Linked DNA regions of Sus scrofa. The protein of the gene in region 2 interacts with the protein of the main gene of each other region in a pairwise test. Links are inferred from orthologs where the notes say so. Each region holds a gene or a part of one and is shown on either strand. Other genes may lie near its edges.

The links.
Region 1: the proteins of KPNA2 (region 2) and SERTAD3 interact in binary tests that used the Homo sapiens proteins (3 or more experiments, as listed by UniProt). The two-hybrid records come from large-scale screens. The link is inferred for Sus scrofa from reciprocal best matches to the Homo sapiens genes KPNA2 and SERTAD3.

What each region holds. Positions count from the first base shown.
Region 1 is NC_010448.4:48,707,873-48,715,374, reverse strand, and holds SERTAD3 (SERTA domain-containing protein 3), read left to right. Parts: upstream 1-2,624; 5' UTR 2,625-2,778; intron 2,779-5,065; 5' UTR 5,066-5,071; coding exon 5,072-5,665; 3' UTR 5,666-6,311; downstream 6,312-7,502.
Region 2 is NC_010454.4:14,291,865-14,299,412, reverse strand, and holds the end of KPNA2 (importin subunit alpha-1), read right to left. Parts: coding exon 7,330-7,548; intron 7,147-7,329; coding exon 6,913-7,146; intron 6,693-6,912; coding exon 6,510-6,692; intron 4,337-6,509; coding exon 4,187-4,336; intron 3,014-4,186; coding exon 2,921-3,013; 3' UTR 2,664-2,920; downstream 1-2,663.

The sequences.
Region 1 (7,502 bases), on a different chromosome or scaffold from region 2:
CAGTGGGTTAAGGATCCAGCGTTGCTGCAAGCTGCAGTGCAGGTCTTGGATATGGTTTGGATCTGGCATTGCTGGCTGTGGCGTAGGCCAGTAGCTACAGCTCCTTAGCTTAGGAGCCTCCATGTGTTGTGTGTTTGGCCCTAAAAAGACCAAAAAAAAGAGAAAAAAGATTTTCTGGGCATTCATCCATTTGTTTCCTCACCTGGCCCTGTGCTGGGGAACCAGTGAAGACAGTGGGGACCCTGTCTTCATGGATCTCACTGTCCAACGTGGAAGACAGCCCTGCCCCTGACAGTGACAACACAGAGTGAGTGGCCAGGGCTCTGATGGAGGAAGCAGAGAGAGCCGAGGGACCCAGCTTGAGGAAGGTTCTGTGGAAGATGAGCTGTCCCACCTGAAACCTGGTTTAGTGAGAATGAGCCAAGGGAAGGTTCTAAGGCGTGATGGCGTTCCAGGCAGAAGAGGCCACATGAGCACATGGCCCCTTTGAAGAACTAAAGCCCATCCCCTACAGTTAATACTTTGGTCAGAGGGGAGGAGCGATCAACCCCAAGAGGCTGTTCTATGGTGCTAAACCGGCCAGGGTCCTTGTAAAAGTTTGAGCTTTAGTCTAAGTTTTTATGCAAAGAGTGGAGCAAGGGAGAGGTGGGGAGGGGGGATCACACTCAGGTTTGTTTGCTTGTTTAGGGCCGCACCCACGGCATATGGAAGGTCCCAGGCTACGGGCTGAGCCCAAGCTGCAGCTGCCATCCTACACCACAGCCACAGCAAAGCCAGATCCTTCACCCACTGAGCAAGAGGCCAGGGATTGAACCTACATCCTCATGGATACTAGTTGGGTTCATTACTGGTGAGCCGCACGACAGGAACTCCGGGTTTGTGTTTTATGAAGCTTCCCTGGGCTACTGTGTGCGGGTGGATGGGAGGGTGCAGAAGTAGAGACTGGGAACCCAGAGGGTGTCCTGGGACCTTGAGGAAGAGAGGGAGAGTGGGCGGGAGCCTGAGTGGACAGTTGGGAGGGGAGGGAGGCACCAGAAGGAAACCTAGGACTGAATCCTGAAAGTGGGGTTGCAGTAGGGCCACCCTGAGACAGGAAGCCTGAAGGGGCTGATTCGGCACGGGGAGGGGAAGAACTGCCTCTTCCTAATCATGTCCCTTCTTGGAATCTACTCTCCCCCACCTTTGTCCCCCAGAGACACCTTTCCCAGGACTGAGCAAACCACTCCTCGCTTACCTAACCCCCAAAGCTCTCCCCCAACCCCAAATCCATTCCCATCCTATACTCTTCTCCACACAGCTGGACTACATGACTGACAAATTCCAACCGGCGAGGACTGGTCCAAAGAGCCTTAAACCTTCCTTCTCCGGAGCGGCCTGGAGAAAACTCTCTCCTCCCGTGGGCGGGAACGTGTTGTGGGGGTGGGGCAGGGCTGGTTCAGGCTTTCTGGGCACCGGCCGCACTCATTTCCTCCCGCTTTATTTCTTCTGTTACAGTGTCTGCATTTAACAAACTTTCTTTCACTGGGCGCCTGCCTTGTGTCCGGCCCTGTGCTAGGTGATGCTGGGGACCAAGCAGTGAGATAACATTGGTACGTGTCCCCAGGAGGCCCACAATCCAGTGACGGCCAGGGCCAAGGTCGGGGAGACTCAGGCAAAGGAGTCAGGGTCGCGATGAGGGAAGCACAGGACCCTGTGGGAGGCCAGAATGGGTCTGGACCATCCCTGGAGCCTCAGAACTGAGAGGAAAACTTTGAGAAGAGTTCTGACTCAAGAGGCAGCCTGGGAATTGAGGGCGTATTTTCAGGATGGGAAAAAGTTTCAAGATCCAGAGGTCTTTTTAAAAGTATCCTTGATTTTGACTTACAATGTTGTGCCAGAGGTCTTTTTTTTTCCCCCCTCATTTTCGAGAACTTGATACGAACCTGGCATTGTTGTAGGCACTGAAGATAAGGCAGGGAAGAAAACCGAATCTCTGTTCACGGCGGTGGAGCCATTTTAGAAAGAGTGAGTCAGTCGGTGCGGCAGGATTGTAGAGAGCAAGGGAGAGTGCATCAAGCCAGACCTGAAGGGCTTTAAGGCAAAAAAAAAAAAAAAAAAAAAAAGTAGTTTGGACTTTGTCCCCACGACAGTGGGGAGCCAAGAGCGAGTTTCCCGCAGCAGGGGTGCCATCCTGAGGGAGGAAGGGCTAAGATCTCCCAGGCAACACAGGCCGCACCAAACTATTGGCTGGCCTTCGGTGCGTCATCCTCCTCCTCCGCAGGGTCCGCCCTCCAAAGCTAGGGGCGCGGCCTTCGTGAGAGGCGCAGCGGGGTCCTCCCGGTAAGCGGGGTGGGGCCGGGCGTGCCTGTCAATCTTCCTCCGCGACTGGGTCCAGGCTTGGTATAAAGGGGTCGCAGAGAGCAATGAAGACGGTCTTGGAGCGAGGACAGTAGCCGAGTTGAAAGAAACAGTTTTGGTGCAACATCCACCCTAGAGAGGTGGCCCTGCCTCCCGGCAAGTCAGAATCCTTTAAAAGGTCCGCGGAGCGAAGGAGGGGAAGGCGGGTCCGGCGTCTCCAGGCGACAGGCGGTAGCTCCGCCTAGCCAATCCGCGCCCTGCGGTGGGCAGGACTCCAGCCAATCATGGTTCGCGGCTCGGCTCCGGGCGGAGCTGGGTGGGCCTGAGGCCAGACCGAGAGGCCCCGGGGTGGTGAGCGCGGCCCCTACCCAGCACTCGCAAAGGAGGGTCGCAAAGCCGCGGGCGTTCCCGGAGGTAGTTGTTGCGAACCTGGCAGTTGAGGTGAGGTGTGGCTGCCTGGCTTGGGATCCGCCTTGGGTTGAGGGAAGTGGAGGCGCTCCGGAGAGTTGTGGAGGCGGGGTATGGGTGGGAGTAGGGGGCGCAGGTTTGGAGAGACTGAGTTTCGAGATCCTGAAAGGAAGGCGAAGTTTTGGGGACAGGGTCTTCAAGTGGAGGGAGTCTGAAGCTGGGACACGGGGTGTTTGGGAAGCGAGAGAACTAGGGAAGGAACTTTTGGGGGCAGGAAATCTGAAGATTGGGATAATTCAGGTCTCCGGGACGAGTTAAAGTCGGGCACTACTGTTCAGGAAAAAGTTTGAGGCGTTGCGCTGTGATCCCGAGCATTTGGAGAAGCGAAAGAAATAGGGGCAAGGACTCGATCTCCTAGACGCAGTGGTGGAGAGGGGTCCTGGGGAGAGGAGAGTTCCCAGTCAGGTCTTGGAGCCGGAGGGGGAGTCGGAGATGAGGTTGAGAAGCATTTGAAAGACCGGAGAATAGGGGAAAGTTGACGGGGAGGGTCTCAAAATTCAGATACCTAGCGGCCCGAACAGAGCGCATCGGAGAGCATTTGTAAGTCTTTGAGCGATGTGTTGGGGCCTGGGTCTCTGGACCCGAGAGTAGTTTGATGGAAGAATTTGGGACTTTCTACGGTCCGCAGGACCGGTAGAAAGCAGTTTAGAATCGGAGTCGGGTGGGGGAGGGGTGTTTCGGGCGTGGAGCTCAGACCCGCAGCCCTGAAGGCAGCGGAGGGCGGGGCTCGGCGGGCGCCGGGCAGCTGGACGTCCGGGTTCCCTTCCCCCACCCACCACGGGCCGCTTTGCGCATGCCCTAAGGGAAGGCGGGGAAGGTGCGTCCCTGCGGCTTGCTGAGCCCTCCGGGGGTTGTAGTGCGCGTTCAACGTCAGTACGTGTACCTGGAGGCTATTGGCCCACATTTCCCATAAGCCCCAAGGACCAAGTTGGGGCGTGTCTGGGTTCCGAACTCGAACTTCGTCGAGGGGGCGGGGCCTGTAGAGAGCGGGGGCCTGGTTGGATGGGCTGGTCGGGGGCGGGGCTTGGCGTGAGTAATGTTCTGGCGAGTTTTCCTACCGGACTCATGCTGGAGAAACCTGAAGGCAACCACAGAGGGAGTGAGGGAGGTATTTTCACTGTTGTTGCGAGAGCTCCCAGTCAGGAAAAATATTTGTTCTCTGTAAAAGAAGAGTCTCCACAGATAGGTTCCCTATCAGGGTTCCAGGTGGCTAGAATATAGTAGACATTCAAAAAAAAAATTTTTTAAGTGATTGTGGACCTGTATTTTATTTTTTGTTTCATTTTGTTTTCAAATTAAAGAAATATATATATTTTTGTCTTTTCTAGGACCGCACCCGCGGCATGTGGAGGTTCCCAGGCTAGAGGTCTAATCCGAGCTATAGCCGCCGGCCTTCGCCACAGCCACGCCAGATCCAAGCCTTGTCTGCGACCTACACCACAGCTCAAGGCAATGCTGGATCCCTAACCCAATGAGCAAGGCCAGGGATCGAACCTGCAATCTCATGATTCCTAGTCGGATTCGTCGGGAACTCCTCAAATAAAAATATTGAATGAGGAATTCCCGTTGTGACTGGACGGTAAGGAACCCAGCTAGTATCCATGAGACTGGTGTTCAATCCCTGGCTTTGCTCAGTGGGTTAACGATCAGGCGTTTCCGTGAGCTGCGGTGTAGGTCACAGATGTGGCTAGGATCTGGCGTGGCTGTGGTGTAGGCCAGCAGCTGAAGCTCCGATTTTGACCTATAGCCTGGGAACTTCTATATGCCACAGGGTGCCGGCCTAAAAAGAAATTTTTTTTCAATAAATAACTGGCAATGAACTCTTGTTCATTGTGCGTGTAGTATCACTTCCCAAGATCTCACAGCTGAGCAGTGTGAAAGGCAGAAGTCAACCCTAGGAATCTCTACTTGCAGGCCAGGTGTCTGTACTCAGTATCTGTCTTGTGTGTGTCGTGTTTGAAAATAAGAGTATTGTGAAAGAACAGCCTTAAGACTCCAGAACTTGAATTAAGATTCCTTGTAGATGAGGAAATTGAGTCTCAAGGAAGTAAATTCACTACTGGAGGCCACATGGGCCAGTAAGTGGGATTCAAACCCAGCTGTGTCTTGCGTCCAGATCTTGTTTTGTTAATCACATACATATACTCTCTTCCTTAGCCTTGTGAGATTTATTTGGGCCATTAAAAATCAACAGCCATACAGGAGATTCAGGATTTGAACTAACCCTGCTGTGTCTCACTTGCCCCTCTTCTTACCACAGGGCATCATGGTAGGCTTGAAGAGGAAACACTCAGATTTGGAGGAGGAAGAAGAGGATGAGAAGTGGGACTGGAGTCCCACAGGCCTTCGGAGCTACCAGCAAGCCCTGCTCCGCATCTCCCTAGACAAAGTCCAGCGAAGCCTGGGCCCCCGAGCACCCAGCCTTCGAAGGCATGTCCTCATCCACAACACCCTCCAACAACTCCAAGCAGCGCTTTGCCTGACGCCTGCACCTGCCCTGCCCCCCGAGCCCCTCTTCCTGGGCGAGGAGGACTTCTCCCTGTCGACCACCATCGGCTCTATTCTCAGGGAGCTGGAGACCTCCATGGATGAGACTGAGCCCCCTCCCAATCCAGTGGCTCCCCCAGGTCCCCAGAATGAAGTATTGCCCCAGCCCGATCCGGTCTTCTTAGAAGCTCTGAGCTCCCGGTACCTAGGGGACTCCGGCCTGGATGACTTCTTCCTGGACATTGACACATCGGCAGTGGAGAAGGAGCCTGCACTGACCCCACCCGAGCCTCCTCACAACCTCTTCTGTGCCCCAGGTTCCTGGGAGTGGAATGAACTAGATCACATCATGGAAATCATTCTGGGATCCTAAAACTTTGATGGGGAGGGGGCGCTCCTTCCCCATCTCAGCCTTGGTGGGCTGAAATCCCTGGATGCAACTCTGTGTGTGTGTGTTTATATGGAGGCTTTAAGCAGTAACTGTGGCCTCCTTTGCTCCCATTTCAGGGTTCCACAAACTGTCTTGCATGTGTGTGTGTGTCTGGTTATCGCAGCCTTCTGTGAAGGTGGGTCTTCCTGAATTAATTTATCTGTTGCAAATGCCTTAATGAGACTCTGTTTCTGGGAGTCTGATTTCCCACGTCCACATTTCTTCTGCCTTTCCCTCCAGTTCCTACTCCCCTCGTGTCCCCTGGGGCCTCAGGGAAGATAAGCTGGGCCTGTCAAAGGATGACAGGGAGGTGCTGCCTGGTTGCTATGGAAACCCAGCTTCTGCCTCTTGCACCTCTAGGGAATGGGAGGGGCTGGCCTCCTCCCCAGGCTGAACCCCACCTCCTTCATAGGACCCCAGTCCCAGCAGCCTCCTGATTCATGACCAGGCCGGACCACGTGCAATAGGGTGGAAACCAAACTGCTCCATGCCGCATTATTTAATAGAAAGGCAGGTTTTGTGGTGGGTTTTTTTGTTTTGTTTTCTGATTGTAATTTTTTTTTTTTTAATAAAAGTATTTTGGAAGGGGTGGTGTTGCCTAAAGTTTCTAAACTTTAGTGGGTCAGTGGGAGGGACCTGGTAAGTTCCCTAGACTCCTGCATCTCTGCCCTGTCAGAGTTGGAGCAGGGATACGAAATAGATCCTGGAGTTCCCGTTGTGGCTCAGTGGTTAACAAATCTGACTAGGAACCATGAGGTTGCAGGTTTGATCCCTGGCCTGGCTCAGTGGGTTAAGGATCTGGAGTTGCCGTGAGCTGTGGCGTAGGTCGCACACGCGGCTTGGATCTGGTGTTGCTGTGGCTCTGGTGTAGGCGGGTGGCTACTGCTCCAATTCGACCCCTAGCCTGGGAACCTCCATATGCCACTGGGGAGTGGCTCAAGAAAAGGCAAAAAGACAAAAAAAAAAAAAAAAAAAAAAAAAAAGATCCTGTTGCCATGTTTTCCATGGGAGGAGCCTGAGGTGAGAGGCCAGGTCACTTGCTCAGGGTCGCATAGCTAGGAAGGAGCAAGGAACTAGAACTCAAGTTCAGTCTCCCTCCAGAGACTTCTTAACTATTGTATTTGTTGCTTCGTGATAGATTTAGACACCTCAGCCACATTGGTGGACACAGGAGGGCAAAACGGGCCCATGGGTTACATGTCAAAGGCTAGGGCTCTCTGACACTTAAAAGTCAACACTTTCATTGTAGAAAATGTGCTGCTGAGGCCCAGAGGAGAGAGAAATGCCCAGAGACCCCATGTTACTAAAAGCAGATCTTTCTAGAAAACTGTTGGCTAGGAAGCAGAACCTAGGCTAGAGTGGTTCTGATGATTTATTTAGGAGATGTGAGCCAGGCTGCTGAGAGGGAGGGAGCGAGGCCAGGGAAAACACCCTGTGACAGACTGTTGCACTGGCTAGGCGGCCACAAAGACCTTCAAAGACAAGGCAGCAGGTATGTACACAGCATTAGGGACTTTTCTGGAAGGCGTGCGAGGAGGAACCTGAGTGTAGTCCACAAGCAGGGAGAGGAAGGGGATTTTTGCCCTTGCTTTCTGGCTTAAAGGCAGGTCCTCCTCCTGAGCATCGCATCTAAGTCTAAAAACAAGTCACTTACCACGAACAGGTGGGGCGGTCTGGAGAGGGGCAGTCTCCAGCCTGGAGAGAGAGCAGCTGGTCAAGGGCATCTCAAGAAGGCGCGTGAGGTCCCCGTCTCAATGTGGATGCCCACTGGATCATGTCT
Region 2 (7,548 bases):
GCCTACACCAGAGGCACAGCAACTAGAGATCCGAGCTGCATCTGCAATCTACACCACAGCTTGTGGCAATGCCAGATCCTTAACCCACTGAGAAGGCCAGGGATCGAAACTGCAACCTCATGGTTCCCAGTCAGATTTGTTAACCAGAGCCACGACGGGAACTCCAAAAAGATTTTTTTGCCACAAGCGAAGTGTCAGCAGTTTTTACTTTGATATTTGACTAAAATTGTTACCTTCCCCCTTTACTTACCACAACTAATACAGTTATCAGAAGATAATTCATTAAAAGATTAATTCATTGCAATCTTGAGATTTAAAATTGCTAGGTGCTAAAAAAATGTAGTGCATTAATACATAAATTTAGACATTATCATTTTGTGAAAGAGGGAAAGGTGGGTGGCTATGTAGGGTTTTACCACAACTTTTAAAAACCTAACCTAACTTTTAAAAACACTTTGTGGCTCAGCAGTTAACAAACCTGACTAGTATCCATGAGCTGTGGTGCAGGTTGCAGATGCGGCTGGGATCTGGCGTTGCTGTGGTTGTGGTGTAGCTACAATTCAACCCCTGGCCTGGGAACTTCCAAAGGATATGGGCGAAGCCCTAAAAAATTAAAAAAAAAAAACCCAGGAGTTCCCGTCATGGCTCAGTGGTTAACGAATCCGACTAGGAACCATGAGGTTGCGGGTTCGGTCCCTGCCCTTGCTCAGTGGGTTAACGATCCGGCGTTGCCGTGAGCTGTGGTGTAGGTTGCAGACTCGGCTCGGATCCCGCGTTGCTGCGCCTCTGGCGTAGGCTGGCGGCTACAGCTCCGATTAGACCCCTAGCCTGGTAACCTCCATATGCCGCAACAAGAACAACAACAACAAAACAAGAAATAGCAACAACAACAACAAAAGACAAAAAAAAAAAAAAAAAATTAAAAAAAAAACAAACAAACCTAGCTGAGTATAAAAACTCAAAGATATAAGATTTTATCCAGTTAAAGTTAATAAAAACAAATGCCTGTCTAAATTTTAACTCCAAGGAAATTAGCATGTTACGAATTTTATCTAAAATATAAAAATGTATTTTTGGAAATCAGCTGGCTCCTGTCCGTTACTTCAGTCGTGCCTCTACACCAGCAAATCCAGACCTTATACTGTGATCCAAGTGTATTATGTTATCACACCAGCCCCTTTAAAGCCATAAAACTCCACCTACCTTAAAACAAACATCTAGGACATCCAGGATGGCTTCCACTCTTGCTTTTCCCAAGTTAAAGCCTTTTGGATCCAGCAACCAAGGGACTTCCTTGGGGGGAAAGAGAGGGGAAATGGGGAGTCCAGCAAAGGTAGGCGGGGAAGGCGGACAGGCTGCAGATCTAGTCCGGTCACTTCTCTCCTCCCTCCACTTAATGAGAGCATTTGTACAGAAAAAGCCGAGAAAATGACCAGCGCTCCAAACAAGGTGCCCCGAATTTCTAGGAGGAACACCTGTAACAGGGTTCATTAGGAACTTGGCTGTGAGAGGTGCTTTAAACAAGCATTAGCCAACATATTCTCTATTTCTGTAAACAAACAAGATGAGCACTATTTGTGGAAGGAACTTTAAAAGCCTGTTATCTACAAAGAGCAAAATGTACTTTTGTCTGTGAACGAACTGGGCTAAGTTCGCTTACCACTACACCCACTGAGAGAGGTAAGTGGAAATTCAGTGCATCGTACAACTGACTTGAAGGAACTCTCTCATTTTTCTGAATACAGTAGCCCTTACAGTCATAAATTACTTTCACCTTGAGTCTTCAGCCCAAATCCCCACCTCTGCCACCACAGCTTTTACCTTCTGTGGGGGAAACAGAGCAGTGAAGACTTGGCTCATCACTTCTCCGCTCATCAAAAAAGCAGAGGCTTACAGTACGTTAAAAATGCAGTTGGTTTCCTGGGGCGCTGGAGTCAATACTCCACCCTCCCCCTGCCACTTCTGCTAATGGCACAGCTACCTCTTCCGAGCAGCAAGTGGCTTTCGCAACCCAGACGGCACAGACAGGGATGAAATTAAAAAACAGAACCTACAGGACTTGAATCCCACTCCTTCCCGACTAAACTTTCCCAGGTGATGCCAACGTGCAGCCTTGAAACCACTTTCAGCCTTGAAGTTTGGGAGGAATGAATTGCACTTGTAGCTCCAGGAAAAAATGAAGATGAAATTTAAGATTTTTATCCCATCTTCCTGGCCAGTAAGACTTATGGAGACACTGGCTGAGGGTTTCTGGGAAATTTTACTCGTTCTCCAGTGAAAACTTCTGAAAAAATTGATAGGTGTGAAATGGATGTGAAGTCTGAAAGCGCCATTGGCCATTTTTACCAACCAAAAGGGGAAGCAGTTTAGAACAAAGCAGAATCAATCAGTGCTCGCTTCGGCAGCACATATACTAAAATGGGAAAGATACAGAGATTAGCATGGCCCCTGCGCAAGGATGACACGCAAATTCGTGAAGCGTTCCATAAAAAAAAAACAAAGCAGAATCAAAAGTGGGCAGGAAGTTATCAAGCCCATATCCTTGATGACATGACAAAATGATGTCTGCAACCAGAACATCTTTGGTAGTCATGGTTCAGTTCCCCCTCATCTATAACCTTTAGGAGCCCCAAACTAGAAAGCAACACATAGGAAATGCAAAGTAAAGAAAAGGGTGGAATTTAATCTTTATTTACAGGACACTGCAAGATATGAAATTCCACATAGAAATAAGAACCCTACTGAGAGTAGAAGCTTCATACAGTATGTACAGTTTGGAACTGTTCAAGTATAGTTTCAGTTGTAAAAAGTGCTACAATAACAAACCACATTTAAAAAGAGCTCTTAGTAGAGAAACAGTAAGACCAACTTTTATCAAACATAGTACGCAACAAACAACTTTATGCCTCAGATGTGCAGTCTAAAAGTTGAAGGTCCCAGTAGCGCTGTCCTGAACTTGGAATGTATATCCTTCAGAGGTAGTTTCTGGCACAACATTTTGATCTTCCTCTTCCTGGAGTATTTAAAAACAAAACAATATAAAATGTTTCTAAGAGGCAGATGCCTACAAGTTTGTATTTACTCTTTTTTCTTCTTTTATCTCTAAGCTGAAAACGAAAACCAGTTTACCCATGTCTCCCACCCCCACTTTTGGCAACCACAAATCTGTTCTTGTGTGCATGTTTCTTTTTGGCCATGGCAATGACTGCAGCATTTGGAAGTTCCTGGGCCAGGGATAGAACCTGCACCACAGAAGCACCAATAGAGGATCCTTAACCTGCTTAGCCACAGGGGAACTCCGTGTGTGTGTTTTTAACATCACACATATAAGAGAGATCACCTGGTGGTATTTGTCTAACTCATTTCACTTAGCATAAATACCTACTAGGTATTCACTCCTAAGGTCCTCATTTGCATATTTCACCTTTAATCCTGCATTGTATCTTTTTTTTTTTCCGTCTCTTGTCTTTTTAGGGCTGCACCCTCGGCATATGGAGGTTCCCAGGCTAGAGGTCTAATCGGAGTTGTTGCCAGCAGCCTACGCCAGAGCCATAGCAATGTCAGATCTGAGCTGCGTCTCTGACCTACACCACAGCTCACGGCAACACCAGATCCTTAACCCACTGGGTGAGGTCAGGGATTGAATCTGAAACCTCATGGTTCCTAGTCGGATTCATTTCCACTGCACCAAGATGGGAACTCCCCCCTTTGTTTTGTCTTTTGTAATCCTGCGCCATATTTTCAATATCTGAAAGAGTGGATGGAAAGCTCTGAAACTTGCCAACTCATGAGTGCCTGGGAGGGAAGTTATGAACAGGTTAAGAAATGCTACTACGGCAACAGAAAAGCAGAGATTTTCTTAACCTGTCACTTCAGAAGGCAGCTTATTAGGCCAGAGGCTCACTTCTCTAACGTCTATACAAACTCACTCTCAAGATAGTCTAAGCTCTCTAAGGCTATTCATTTGAAAGTAAATGGGTGACTTTTTAATACCTCAGTTTAAAAAGATGGTATTATCTTCAAGTCAAACATGAGATGAACAAATATGTATGTTATACCCCACTTGAGACTGATATGATATACTGCTATACTGAACAGCGCTCATCTAAAAAGTATGAGGAAAAATATCTTATGGGCTTAACCTTAAATGTGTATTTTTCCAGTTCTTATTGACATTGCTACTCACCTCCACAGAGAAATACTTCTCAATCAAGTTTAATGAAGCTTTGTACACAGACTCATTTTCATGGTTTTGGAGAGCTTCAATTTTGTCCAGACCTCCACATTCTTCAATCATTATACTAAGTTTCTCAGTTTCACCTAGTTTCTCAGCAGCCTGCAAAAAATTCCAAGTTTAGTAGCCTACACTTTGAAAGACCTTTTTTTTTTTTTTTTTTTTTTTTTTTTTTGGTCTTTTTGTCTTTATAAGGCCGCAACTGCAGCACATGGAGGTTCCCAGGCTAGGGGTCTAATGGAGCTGTAGCCGCCGGCCTACACCACAGCCACAGCAACACCAGATCCTTAACCCACTGAGCAAGGCCAGGGATCGAACCCCAAACCTCATGATTCCTAGTTGGATTCATTTCCACTGTGCCATGACGGGAACTCCCTGAAAGTTCTATTTTAATGAAGAAAACAATTTCTATGTTTTAGTGTCCATGTGTATCAGACAGAAATAAACACGTGAGTTTATTTAACAACCCTATGAGAGAGAACTATCTGCATTTTACCTATGTTTTATATTTTTGAAAAATTCAAGCGAATCAGATTTTGCTTCTTAGCAACTACTTCTGTAGCTTTCAGCCACAAAGATCTTAGTATAGTTCTTAACCTTTTCTGTACATCAAAATCACCCAGGCAACTTTAAAAATGACACTATATCCAGGTTCAGTTGGCCTGTGATGGGAATAGGAAATTACTGTTTTGTAAAGACTCCAGATAATCCCAAGGTGTATGTAGTAAGAGTGGAGAATCACTGTCCAAGGGTAAAGATGGCCTGTGGTTTGTAAAAACAAATTCCTCTGACTGGATCATTTGTTGATACCAAGAGAATGGTACGGTGGTCAGATACTTTTCAAAGTCCTCAACTTTTAGGACATACATAAATATTTACAAGTAAAATAACGTATTTGCTTCAAAATAAAAACTTAAGGTAAGTGTGAGTAGGAAAAGAAGCCAAATGTTGCCGACTTATTTATGTTAGGTAATCATATTCTAAACTCAACTTTGATATGTGAAAATTTCCATAATCAAAGTTGTTGAGTAAGACCTAACCACCATTAAATACTGACAAAGTGCCATGTGCCAGCACATGTGGATCACTCAGGGCTTGAAACCAGAAGAAAAATATAACTGACCGGGTCGTTCGAATTTTTTTTTTTCTTTTTGCCTTTTCTAGGGCTGCACCTGCAGCATATGGAGATTCCCAGGCTAGGGGTCTAATAGGAGCTGTAGCCGCCAGCCTACACCAGAGCCACAGCAACGCAGGATCCGAGCCGCGTCTGTGACCTACACCACAGTTCATGGCAACGATGGATCCTTAGCCCACTGAGCGAGCCAAGGATCAAACCCGCAACCTCGTGGTTCCCAGTTGGATTCGTTAACCACCAAGCCACGACAGGAACTCCTGGTTGGTCAAATTTAATTTCATACTGAATTACAGTATGAAATTGGGGAATCAGGAGTTCCTGTCATGGCACAGCAGAAAACAAATCTGACTAGGAACCATAAGGTTTTGGGTTCAATCCCTGGCCTCACTCAGTGGGTTAAAGATCTGGCGTTGCTGTGAGCTGTGTTGTAGGTCGCAGACGCAGCTTGGATCTGATGTTGCTGTGGCTCTGGTGTAGGCCAGTGGCTACAGCTCTGATTCGACCCCCAGCGTGGCAACCTCCATATGCTGCCAGTGCGGCCCTAAAAAGACAAAAGACCAAAAAAAAAAACCAAAAAACAAAAACTGGGGGATTAAGACATCTTGACAAAATAAACAGATATGAATCGTGTCCACATATGTACCTGACCTCAATTCAGTCACATCATGCATTTGTCATTCCTTTTATATCTCTTATAATCCTTGCCAGGTCTTATTTTATCAAGAGTGTGGCTCATATGAAGAGGCTTTCTGATTCTGTGGCCCACTCAGGAAATTTAGCTGCCTCCACCCCCACCTTGCCATCATCTAAATAGTAAACCAGGGAATTCCCACCATGGCTCAGCGGAAACGAACCTGATTAACATCCATGAGGACAAAGGTTTGATCCCTGGCCTCGCTCAGTGGATTAAGGATCTGGCGTTGCCATGAGCTGTGATGGAGGCTGGCAGCTACAGCTCCAATTCGACCCCTAGCCTAAGAACCTCCATATGCCACCGGTGCGGCCCTAAAAAAAGACCAAAAAACAAAAAAAACCCACCAAACCTCTAGTGTCATCACTTTTGAGGCTAAGCTTTGATCCCTGACCTGTGAATTTCTGCATGCCAAGGGTGTGGCCAAAAAAAAAAAAAAGGCAACTTACCTGAAAGATATTAGAAATGGCATCCAGAATAACCAGGATAATTTTGGTATCTTTTGCAGTTAAGAGGTTCATCAATGGTTCTATTATGCCACAGTGGACAAGGTACACGATCTGTTCAACTGTTCCACCACTTGTGTAATTGGTCACAGCCCATACAGCTTCCTTTTGTGTCTTAAAGTCTGCCTAATAAACACAAGAAAACAGGTGTATTTCAGAATGGGCATAAAAATAAGATTCCAAAAGTACTCTTTTAGAAAAATAGTGACTAAAACTACCATCTGACTATTATTTAGCAAAAGACTATAAGTAGGACCTAACATTAGTACATTAAGAACCTTATGAAGTACAGTTCTACCAAGTGGCCTCTGGAAGCAATCCTTTATGAAGGCCTAAGGCTTCTTACCTTCGAGAGAACGCCAACAAGGAATGGGACCAATCCATGATTTACAACTTGCTGTATCTGGTCCTGGCGACCAGCTGTAATATTTGACATTGTCCACGTAGCCTCCTTCTGAATATTTGTTTTGGAGTTTGTTAGCAGGCTGGGAAAGACGGCGAGTGCTCCTGCATCTATGACAACCTGCGTCTGTTCATCTGTGCCAGTGACAATGTTTCCTATTGCTCTTAGTGCAGGAGTCTGGAAAGGGAAAAATGCTGATGTTGCTGGTTATCCTTCATCGTTTCTACCACTGCTCGAAGTCGCTACACCCTAAAAGTCTGGACAAGAGGCTCATTGTGGCCTAAAATAGGTAGTATGTCAATATTAGTACTGACTGATTATGCTCTTCATACTTTATTTCTCATTTGAAAATTAACTTACCACAATCGGCAGTTCAGTGGCTCCTAAAAGCTTCACAAGTTGGGGTACGACCCCTGTCTTCACAACCATTTCAATCCGTTCATTTGGACCATCGGTAAGGTAGGAAATAGCCCAGCAGGTATCTGCTAAAACTTCTGGATCATCGTGATGTAGGAGACGAACTAAAGTAGGAAGAATTTGCTCAACAGCATCTAAGGGGGGTGCAGGATTCTTGTTGCG